3 linked regions of the Saccharomyces cerevisiae S288C genome follow. The gene in region 2 interacts genetically with the main gene of each other region. Each region holds a gene or a part of one and is shown on either strand. Other genes may lie near its edges.

Region 1 (3,760 bases), on a different chromosome or scaffold from region 2:
ATTCCGCACCATTTCATTATGGCACGCATTATTCCTCAGCTATGATAGTATCTTCATATCTGATAAGGCTGAAGCCCTTTGTCGAATCCTTTTTGTTATTGCAAGGCGGAAGTTTTGGCCCTGCAGATCGTTTATTTAGTTCGCTTGAAAGGGCCTGGAGCTCTGCTTCTTCTGAAAATACAACGGATGTCAGGGAATTGACACCTGAATTTTTTTTTCTACCTGAATTTTTGATCAACGTTAATAGTTATGACTTTGGTACAGACCAAAGCGGTAAAAAAGTTGACGACGTCGTACTTCCACCCTGGGCAAATGGTGACCCAAAGGTTTTCATTCAAAAGAATAGAGAAGCTTTAGAAAGTCCTTATGTATCAGCACATTTACATGAATGGATTGATTTGATATTTGGTTACAAACAAAAGGGGGACATTGCTGTGAAATCTGTTAACGTATTCAACAGATTGAGTTACCCAGGCGCTGTAAATCTAGATAACATTGACGATGAAAATGAGCGCAGAGCTATCACAGGCATTATTCACAACTTTGGTCAAACGCCTTTACAAATATTTCAGGAACCTCATCCGGAAAAAATAGCCTGCAATGTTCAACAGCTAACAACAGAGGTATGGCGTAAGGTTCCAATGAAGCCAATATTTGAGAAGACAATCTTTAATTTGAATGAAAAGAACAGGTCCGTCGATTATGTTATACACGATCCTAGTTACTTCGATTCATTATACTGGAGGGGCTTCGCTTTCCCAAACTTGTTTTTCAGAACGGAAGAATCGTTAGTGTCATTGAGAATTGTGCATAAAAATTGGTTAAAAATTGGACTAGATATTTTTAAAAAGACGCATATGGCTCAGATTACATCGTTTGCGTACTGGAAGTTGGGCGAATTCATAACTGGCGATAAAAATGGGCTGATAAAAGTTTGGAAATATCGTAAAGATAAGCATTCGGTTTCAGGTAACCTTGAGAACAAAAAAACAATGTTTGGGCACCTATGCGAGCTAAAGGAGATGCGCTGTTATCACGACTACAATACGCTTTTAACCTTAGACATCAGCGGCTTAGTATATGTCTGGGACATGATTAATTTCGAACTAGTAAGGCAAATAACAAATGATGCGCAAAAGGTCGCAATATCTCAACATGCAGGGAGCATTATGGTATTGACTAAGAATAACGCCATTTCGATCTTCAATCTAAATGGACAAATATATACATCAAAGAAATTCGAACCAGCTAAAATTGTAAGCTCAATTGATTTTTTTGACTTCACTAAGTTAGACGCAGGTTACAGAAAGCATATCTATTGGAAAGAGATGGAAATACTACTAGTGGGCTTTGAAGATGGAACTATAGAAATTTACGAGCTCTTTTTGAATTTTCATAATGAATGGGCGATAAAGCTACTGAAGCAGCTCTGTACCGAAAAAGGGAAAGCCATAACTAGCATTAAGGGACAGGGGAAGACATACCTGTCCCAGAAAAGACGCAAGGATACAGCAGAGCCTCATGAGATAGAAGTGATTGCGGGAACATTAGATGGCAGATTAGCTATTTGGTACTAGGCATCACATCGTAACGCCTTTCTTTAAATGATTCAATTTTTGTAGTTTATATCTTTACTTTTGAAACTGATTTCTCATCCCATCTAGTATTGTAATTGCGTACGTATCCAATATCATTACCAACGCCGGGTATTTTTTTCTAGTATTTCTTCTCCATTTCGCCTATGGAAAACGGCAAAAGGGTAAAAGAAAAAAACAAACGATTAATTCTTCTTTGAATTATGTAAAAATCAAAACGCAACCGCAGATTTAATAGAGACCAGAAATTCGGATTACTATTGACTTTGTGCACCACCTTCAAATTTACTCATTGTTTAAGACAGGCAGTGGGAAAGAAGCCGTCATATTGCTCGAATCCTTAACAAGCAAAATATACAACCACTAAATTATTCCGAAAGGGCCTGCTTAATAATTTGCCTACTAACTTGTGCATAGAACAGCAAACAGAAACAAAGCGTAAGAAACATGGGGTATCCGCCACCTACACGAAGGCTTGGAGATAAGAAAAGGTACCATTATTCCAATAATCCTAACCGAAGGCATCCTTCCGCTGTTTATTCCAAGAATAGCTTTCCAAAATCAAGCAATAATGGATTTGTATCTTCTCCTACTGCCGATAATTCAACAAATCCGTCTGTAACTCCCAGTACTGCATCTGTACCTCTTCCTACAGCGGCACCTGGAAGCACGTTTGGTATCGAAGCACCCAGGCCATCTCGATATGATCCGAGCTCAGTCAGTAGGCCTTCGTCATCATCTTATTCGTCAACAAGAAAAATTGGAAGCCGTTATAACCCAGATGTGGAAAGATCCTCTTCAACCACTAGTTCAACTCCGGAAAGTATGAATACGAGCACCATAACACACACCAATACGGATATCGGAAACTCACGCTATTCTCGAAAAACCATGAGCAGATATAATCCTCAATCTACTAGTTCTACAAACGTTACCCACTTTCCCTCGGCATTATCAAACGCTCCACCGTTTTATGTTGCCAACGGGAGTTCTCGGAGACCTCGATCAATGGATGATTATAGTCCTGATGTAACGAACAAGCTCGAAACAAATAATGTTTCATCTGTTAATAATAACAGCCCTCATTCTTATTACTCTAGGAGCAACAAATGGAGATCCATTGGAACGCCTTCCAGACCACCATTTGATAATCATGTCGGCAATATGACGACCACCAGCAATACTAACTCGATCCATCAAAGGGAACCTTTTTGGAAAGCAAATAGTACTACTATTTTAAAATCAACTCATTCACAGTCATCGCCTTCCCTTCATACTAAAAAATTTCACGATGCGAATAAATTGGACAAACCAGAGGCTTCAGTTAAAGTTGAAACACCCAGTAAAGATGAGACAAAAGCCATATCGTACCATGATAACAATTTTCCACCAAGAAAATCAGTTTCTAAACCTAATGCACCTTTAGAACCCGATAATATCAAGGTTGGCGAAGAAGATGCATTGGGGAAAAAAGAAGTACATAAAAGTGGGCGTGAGATAGCAAAGGAACATCCTACTCCTGTAAAAATGAAAGAGCATGATGAACTAGAAGCTCGCGCTAAAAAAGTAAGTAAAATCAATATTGATGGAAAGCAGGACGAAATTTGGACGACGGCAAAAACAGTGGCCAGTGCAGTCGAAGTTTCCAAAGAAAGTCAAAAGGAACTAACACGCTCTGTTGAAAGGAAGGAAAGCCCAGAAATTAGAGATTATGAAAGAGCATACGATCCGAAAGCCCTGAAAACAGACGTAACAAAGTTGACAGTAGACAATGATAATAAAAGTTACGAAGAACCTCTTGAAAAAGTGGAGGGGTGTATTTTCCCATTACCAAAAGCAGAAACGAGATTATGGGAATTGAAAAACCAGAAAAGAAACAAAATAATAAGTGAACAAAAGTACTTACTGAAAAAGGCAATTAGGAATTTCTCAGAGTATCCTTTTTACGCACAGAACAAACTTATACATCAGCAGGCTACCGGACTTATCTTGACGAAAATTATATCAAAGATAAAAAAGGAAGAACATTTGAAAAAAATAAATTTAAAACATGATTATTTCGATCTCCAGAAGAAGTATGAAAAAGAATGCGAAATTTTGACTAAACTGAGTGAAAATTTAAGGAAGGAAGAAATCGAAAATAAACGTAAAGAGCACGAACTAAT
Region 2 (3,271 bases):
TTGAATTGATTTTTTGGCCTTGTTAACTTGAAAGGATAATTGATCTCGGTGGAAGTTAAACCTAGAATACAATTCATTTAATTTCTTTTTCAAGTGCTGCCATTGAAGTTCTATATTTTCTTTCCAAACAGCGTTATTAGGTGTCCGTATTTCATTTTTATTAGTGCTGCCTTTATCAGGAGTATCACCGTTCTGTAGAGAATATGAACTATAATGAAATGGCCTGGTGAAAGATGACGCCCTCAACATTAATTTGTTAATGCTGAATACTAAGGGTAAGTTTCTTGTCGCCCCATAGTATCTCAACATCACGCAATTTTTTAATCACTGAGTTCACCCGTTACAATTTCACAACGAAAAAGACCCCAATGATCAGATAGTCCTCTTTATAACGCGTATCTACGTACATAATCTTTATTTGTATTTTTCAATTCATTTGGCTCACATTTATCATACCAGAAGGAAACCCATGCACCTCCATGATGAAATTATACAAAAATTTACATGATAATTGGTTTAGAACTGAGTCTACCACCTTTAAAGTTGGTCAAAGCCCTATGCCTCATGTCAATTGTTTGTAGTACTCTCCAGGCTTCCTCTATATGCCTTGGTTTGAGCGGGTTTATAACATTTTCAGGTCCATCAAATAATCTTTTCTTTCTATGTAATGTGGATGATGCAAATTCAAAGTTAGTATTATCTTGGCTAGATTGCTGGGATTTGTCCTTTTGAGTCTGTAATACCTGTTCTCTTTGTTTGATTTTCAGAGCTGTTTCCGTCAAAGAACAGACAATCTCAAAAGTTAGAAACCCCAGTATATCAATCACATCATCATGGGGTTTCCCCTCAGTTAATTGCGAAATTCCAGACCAGTCCTTGAACCTTTTATTCTTCCTAAATGTAAAACTTGCCTGTCGACAATCGGACCAATGCACGTACTCCTCTTTAGTCATGTTTCGTGTTCTATCGTCAGCCATTTTCAGCCTTTTCAAAGTGACTATATTAGCTTCTCGTTCATCCTCATCCATATCATCATTGTCGTCATTATTTTCTAAAGGATGTTCATTGAACATAAACTGCAATTCCCATGGCAGCTTAATTTGGGATTTCTTGACCTTCATCATGTTTCCACCATCTTTTTCGTCTTTCTCGCCACCACCTGCTTTTTTCAAATCATCTTCACCACCTGCCCCAGGATTTCCAGTGCCACTCGCTACACCGGCACTAGCATCTTGGTCCTTGGCGTTTTTACGCAAATCCTTCCATGACAGATATGTTCTCAAACGATTGACTTTGGCCTTGTCGTGTCTGATCAAGAAAATGACGTCTTCAGGGAGAATGCTCCTACTTCCCCTAAGATGCGCCGTTTTGTTTGACTGTAAAAGAATTTCTATCACTTGACCCCTCACTATATCTTCTATCAGTGATGTGGTTTCTACGGGTGGGTCGTTAATTTCACCAGAGACAAACATCATCTGTTGAATCTCCACACGATACTTATGCTTGTCCATCATTCCTGCCCTAATCTCTTGAATTTTGGCACGGTACCTTGTATGCACTCTTCCCCGGGTTCAGAGTGTCTTCAACCTTACTTTTTACTTTTCGTTTCCGCCGATCTATATTACATGGTTCGGATTTTCTTCTTTTCTGTGCGCTGCGCTTGAAGCCTCAAGAAAGGGCAGCTTTGAACAAGACGTTCTTGCGATAGAGATGAATGAGAATGCATTGAACGCAATGTATACCTATTTTGGCGGCATAAAAAACTTGTTTTCGAGATTGCAGTTGAATCTGAATGTAGCGAGGAGACGAACAAAAAATTGGAGTTCCTACTGTATTGCAAAGAAACTAAGAGACGCCCGCTAATGCTGCCGGAAATGTACGGTGATCTCTTAAAGTTGATTGACCGATAACGCAAAAATAATGCAGCAAACTGTAGATAACTCTTTTTTATCGTAATATTTCTATTAGTATCCAGATATTTCACTCCAAATCACAGCAGACGTTGGTGTGAACGGCATCAGAGTCCCAGGGGCTGAGATAAGTGAAAAAAATGAAATGCCGCCGGCGTATATATAACAGTTATTGTACCTGATATTATGCCAAGTCACTCACTAATCTCGAGAAAATAATTCTAAGACATGTAACCGAACATCATGTCCTTCGAGAACAAACTGCCAACTCCATTAGAAAACAACGATGCTAAGGGCCATATGGTCTGTACCCTGAACAAGACTACGGATGCCAGAAGAGCAGCAGAGACTTTGTCTATTGCTTTTAGTAACTCGCCAGCGTTTCATTTTATCTGCAAGAAAATCTTAAATATTCCTCTAGCTGAGAAGGTGCCTACAAGGACAATAACCACCGATATCATATCGCCATTCCTGGATTCACCTTATGGTGAGATCTCCGAAGTTAATACTTTCGATGCTGTTGCAGTGTGGAGTCTTCCACCTCACGTTCCGAAGGCAAGGAGTAATGATGCAAAGTTCAACAAGGACTTTATTGACGATTTAAATGCTCGCGTAAAGCAAGTCATTCCAAATGGCATCAATTACTACTATCTTTTCTGTATTGGTAAGAACTTAAATGAGAAAGGAATCAGAGGTTCTGTAAGGACTATTTTTGAAGAGTACAAAAGGAGAGCAGACGAAGAAAATTGCGCCATTGTCCTTGAAGCTATTGCCGAGCATGCTAAATCTGTGTACGAATATTTTGGATTTAGAAATTACATGACGTTCAAATACGGTGAGTGTGAGGTCGACTCTAACGGCAATTGCGATCCGAATGGTGAAGGGTTCACAGCCTATTTAATGATATATCATAAGGACGGTAATAAAGTCTTAAAAGAGTAGTTTTTGAGCTTTTTCTTTCCCCCCTTCAAGTAATTATTTAGAATAAAAAGTAGTGTTTAAAGACGACATTTTGGAGCATGCACTGTATAACCAGGTTCAAAAAAATTTCGCCTGCTATTGTTTTCTTTATTTTGAAGATGTGAGAAAAGTCTCATATCTAGTGAGCTTCAGTCTGTTTTTAGATGTAGTTAGCAATTACTATTTTAGGTATTTCTTTGCGCGGTTACGGTCTCAAGAATTTATATTACCACAAAACCTATGTAAGCTAGATCTTCTTAGCGAAAGTGGTTCAGTGGTTAGAATTCATGCTTCCCAAGCATGGGGCCCGGGTTCGATTCCCGGCTTCCGCATTTTTTGTGCAATTTTTTTTTATACTCTATTTTCAAGTTAAAGTTTTTCAAAGGCGAAGTATGTTTACG
Region 3 (3,760 bases), on a different chromosome or scaffold from region 2:
GAAAATAAAATGGTTTTGAATTCTTGAATTTTAGACAAAAATGTTTCAAATGGTGCAATTAACCGTTGAAATTGTAGGCTGCCCAAGGTGGACAACAGATGCTTTTCAATAGACATTATGGCGAACAAAACATAGGTAAAGTTTAAGCTTTTGGAAGAAGTAAAGAACTTTAGTATTCTATTGATGGAATTCAAAGTAATTAATAAATAGTCTATTATTTGAAAGTCGATTTCGTTGAATTTTTCAATTTGGATAGAAGATTGATATTCTTCTATTATGGGACGAAGGTTCAAAAAAGTTTGCAGTGAAACGGTGGCGGTAGAGTAACGGGATAAATCGAATTTCGAACAAACGAATTCGAAGCCAAATTTTTCACACAATGAACGGAATTTATCTAACTGCCACGAATTAGATTGTAAATCATCCAAAAAAGAATTGATTCTGGAAAAAATGGAATTCGAAATATCTATATTTGACAAATCAATTAGAGAGTCCAATAAAGTCAAAGGTTCTTTGGAGAATGATGATTGTCTCGGATGCGTAATATCGGCGGATTTAGGCGTACCGAACAATGGCAATATCGCAGAATTTATTATGGAAATAATGCAATTGTGATAATAGTTTTTAGCATTCGTATACGTATTCGGGAAAAAGGGTTGGCTATCCATTACGTTTAGTAGATCTACTATTTGAGATCTTGGTAGAGTGATAGAAATCACAGTATTTTGTAAACCAGGTAATTCTTGTGAGATTTTGAGCAGTTGAGCTGGAATAGATAGTTTGGGGTCATTGTTATATTCATGTAAGTTTTGGATGATAAGGGGTAAAGTCTTTACTTGGGAATGAAAATCATCATAGTACTGAATACTCAATATAGATATCGTGTTATTCCAAACGGAGTGGCTTAGAGAGAAAAAATTGATTTTTTGCATTTCAAATAATTGGTTCTTCAACCTGTTTGATAACTGATTAGATCTATCGGTTGGGTCCATTAGTAAGTAGTTTTTGTCGATAATCAACGACAAATCGGAATTGTTTCGCAAAGCTGTCCTTTGAATGATTCTATCGAGATTATATGCGATGGACCTGATAGCATTCAGAATTAAGTCATGGTCAATGAAGCTTAGTGAGTTGGCGTTCTGATTGATCAAAAGGCGTACGGCAGTGTTGTCTACGAACGACAGAGGCAAGTTTTCTGATGCAATTATGATCGCAAGCGACTGCACAAGAGGCAAGGCCATTTCTTTTTCCCTAGTTCTCTTCAAAAAGTCCTCGTCTATTTCCAGCAGGTTAGCAATGCTGTTCGTTGTGGCGCTACCGCCTTGATGGTTCTTCAAAGGTGGTCTGACCATAAAAGTAGAACCTGCTTCTACGCCCGTCCATCCGCTATAGTAATTGGCATTCGGGTCTATCTTATGCGTGCTCCACAAATGAGTTTGCGAGGCTTCCGCCATGCTTATGCTGTTTCCTTGCCGTCTTATTATCACACCGCAGTACTTGCATTTTACTGCCTCCAGCATCTTGTCTACACCCAGAAAATGGCCCAAGTAGCGTGACCTGTCTCTGGTAAGCATATATGCGGGCACCCATTCGCTACCATCCTCTGCTAACGACTCCCTTTCCTCATCTCTATCTCCATCTGTATCTGTATCCGTATTTGTGGCCGTCGTAGCCGCCGTCGCCGACGATACAGTTGAATTCATGGGAGGCAACACCAATCCTCTTTCAGCACTCTGTACCTGTGTGTCCATCGCTCTCATATGTGCTCTCGTGCTTGTTTATCCTGTGGATGCTGCCAGCAAACTCTCTCTTTCCCATCTCTTGATGGTTCATGTTATGTGTTGTTTATTGTTTGCTGATCCCATTCGCGCTTTCCCGGCCGTGGTAAATGACTACACGGTGAATAATTGCGCCATTTTTTCGCCGTTGCGGTGTTTTTTTTGTAGCCGTTGGAAGCATGGCAGTACCATCTGGAACAAAGCAACGGTATAAAGAAGACAGACTGTTGGTAAGCGCTGCATGTTGGTGACAAAAAGTTGGTTTCGAGAAATCAGGGTGGGTGTTTTTTGTGTGGCATGTGCAGCGAGCGATGAGTAATGCAAACAATAGTGCTATGAACCACATCACGTTGCCTCCCATCTCGTCATTTGACAACCTTATCAAGGCAGCCGAGAGACAATATAATGGCGAGGCTTCGTCCGCCTCGACACATCCGACACTGCCTAATATGAACATTAGTAACGGCAGTGGCAGTGCGGGCGCATCATCGTCGATGCTGAGCTATCAGTTGCTTCCGCACTCCAATGATGTGTCCCGGTCGAACTCCAGCTCGAGCTTCCTTCCCTCCGTGCAGCAGCCTACGGAAGGTTCCGCTTCTGCATCGGAAACTTCTTCATCTGCATCACCTTCACGTTCCATTTCACCAATTTTAAAAGTGGCTGGTCCTTCATCTGTTGGCGGTGCCGGGGTGAGTACCCCCCATAGCACCAAAATCAATAAGCCAAGGAAAAAGAAGCAATGTCCAATTTGTCGTAATTTTTATGCCAATCTGACCACGCACAAGGCAACGCACTTGACGCCAGAGGATCGGCCTCACAAGTGTCCCATCTGCCACCGCGGGTTCGCCAGGAACAATGACTTATTGAGGCATAAGAAAAGACATTGGAAGGATGAGATACTGTCCCAATCGGGAGTACTTTCGAACCATAATGATGGTAAGGGAGGATCCGTTTCTCCCAATGATGATGATACCCATGAAAAAATGACACCGATGAATTCTGTCACAGATTATGCACAATTGAAATCGTTGCATCAAATCAAGGGCACATTCAAGTGCCCATTCAACTCCACCTTAATACAATTGGACATGGATATGTACCCGTATAAACTGAAACCTTTAAATTTTGAGACTTCCAATTGTCACCAGACGGGGGTGTTCTCACGTTGCGACACCTTCAAAAACCATTTAAAGGCTTTGCATTTTGAATACCCGCCAGGCACGAAGAAAAAGGATAGAAATGTTGTTCCTGGTAGATGTAAGCATTGCGGCCTGAAGTTCGAGAACGTTGACGTTTGGCTCAACGAACACGTAGGTAAACAATGCGGCTATAAATACCATTGATTCCCGGCAGCATAACGACTTTTCCCCTGTTTTTATTAGTACTAGTAGATATTTAATTTATGTATCTGAGTTTTTAATGTTTTTTTTCCTTCTCTTATCATTCTTCAAGTGCGGCTATCCTTCTGTACTGTGGCCTGCCGTCAACAACTTCTCTGTAGATTATCAGATCCATTCCCTTCATGTATGAATCAGGTAGTTTTGTGGGGTACAGTGTAACGCCGCTTTTCCTCTTGATTGACCACTTATCAACTAAGGTGTTTTCGATACCATTATAGAAGTCTGTGGGAAAACTTTTGGTGATGATCCAGCAGCCCAAAAATTCTCTTAGTTTCCTTAGAATCTTAAACAGTTTTTCAAATTTCGATAAATTTATTACATCATAGTTTTTGTCGCTTTCAAAATTCAAGAAAGACAAATTGTCGATTACTATTCCTCGTAATTGAAAGTTGAAATTATCAACCTGGCACCTCCTTAACGCATCCATGGGAGAGTCATACAGTAACTCTAGAAATACGATTAATCCCGTGATGTTTATGCAAGATAGCGAATTCATGTAGATCGCGCCATGCTGTCTTTGCTTTTGTTGGGACCATATTGATACTATATCTATGATTAGGATCTTTTCGTCCCCCGTAGTAC

The links.
Region 1: mutations in SPT3 (region 2) and SNT1 together harm fitness more than expected from each alone (negative genetic interaction), as found in Saccharomyces cerevisiae (4 studies listed by BioGRID, with this or other methods).
Region 3: mutations in SPT3 (region 2) and VID22 together harm fitness more than expected from each alone (negative genetic interaction), as found in Saccharomyces cerevisiae (3 studies listed by BioGRID).

The regions. Positions count from the first base shown.
Region 1 is NC_001135.5:184,447-188,206, forward strand, and holds the start of SNT1 (Snt1p), read left to right. Parts: upstream 1-2,042; coding exon 2,043-3,760. Other genes in the region: BPH1 (Bph1p), read left to right, coding at 1-1,577. UniProt on the Saccharomyces cerevisiae protein: Part of the Set3C complex, which is required to repress early/middle sporulation genes during meiosis.
Region 2 is NC_001136.10:1,256,939-1,260,209, reverse strand, and holds SPT3 (transcriptional regulator SPT3), read right to left. Parts: upstream 1,515-3,271; coding exon 501-1,514; downstream 1-500. Other genes in the region: SHE9 (She9p), read right to left, coding at 1-309; IAT4 (Iat4p), read left to right, coding at 2,154-2,852. UniProt on the Saccharomyces cerevisiae protein: Component of the transcription coactivator SAGA complex. SAGA acts as a general cofactor required for essentially all RNA polymerase II transcription. At the promoters, SAGA is required for transcription pre-initiation complex (PIC) recruitment.
Region 3 is NC_001144.5:869,608-873,367, forward strand, and holds the start of VID22 (Vid22p), read right to left. Parts: upstream 1,761-3,760; coding exon 1-1,760. Other genes in the region: STP3 (Stp3p), read left to right, coding at 2,090-3,121; PSY3 (Psy3p), read right to left, coding at 3,219-3,760. UniProt on the Saccharomyces cerevisiae protein: Has a role in the negative regulation of gluconeogenesis. Imports fructose-1,6-bisphosphatase (FBPase) into the intermediate vacuole import and degradation (Vid) vesicles. This is an indirect role and requires cyclophilin A.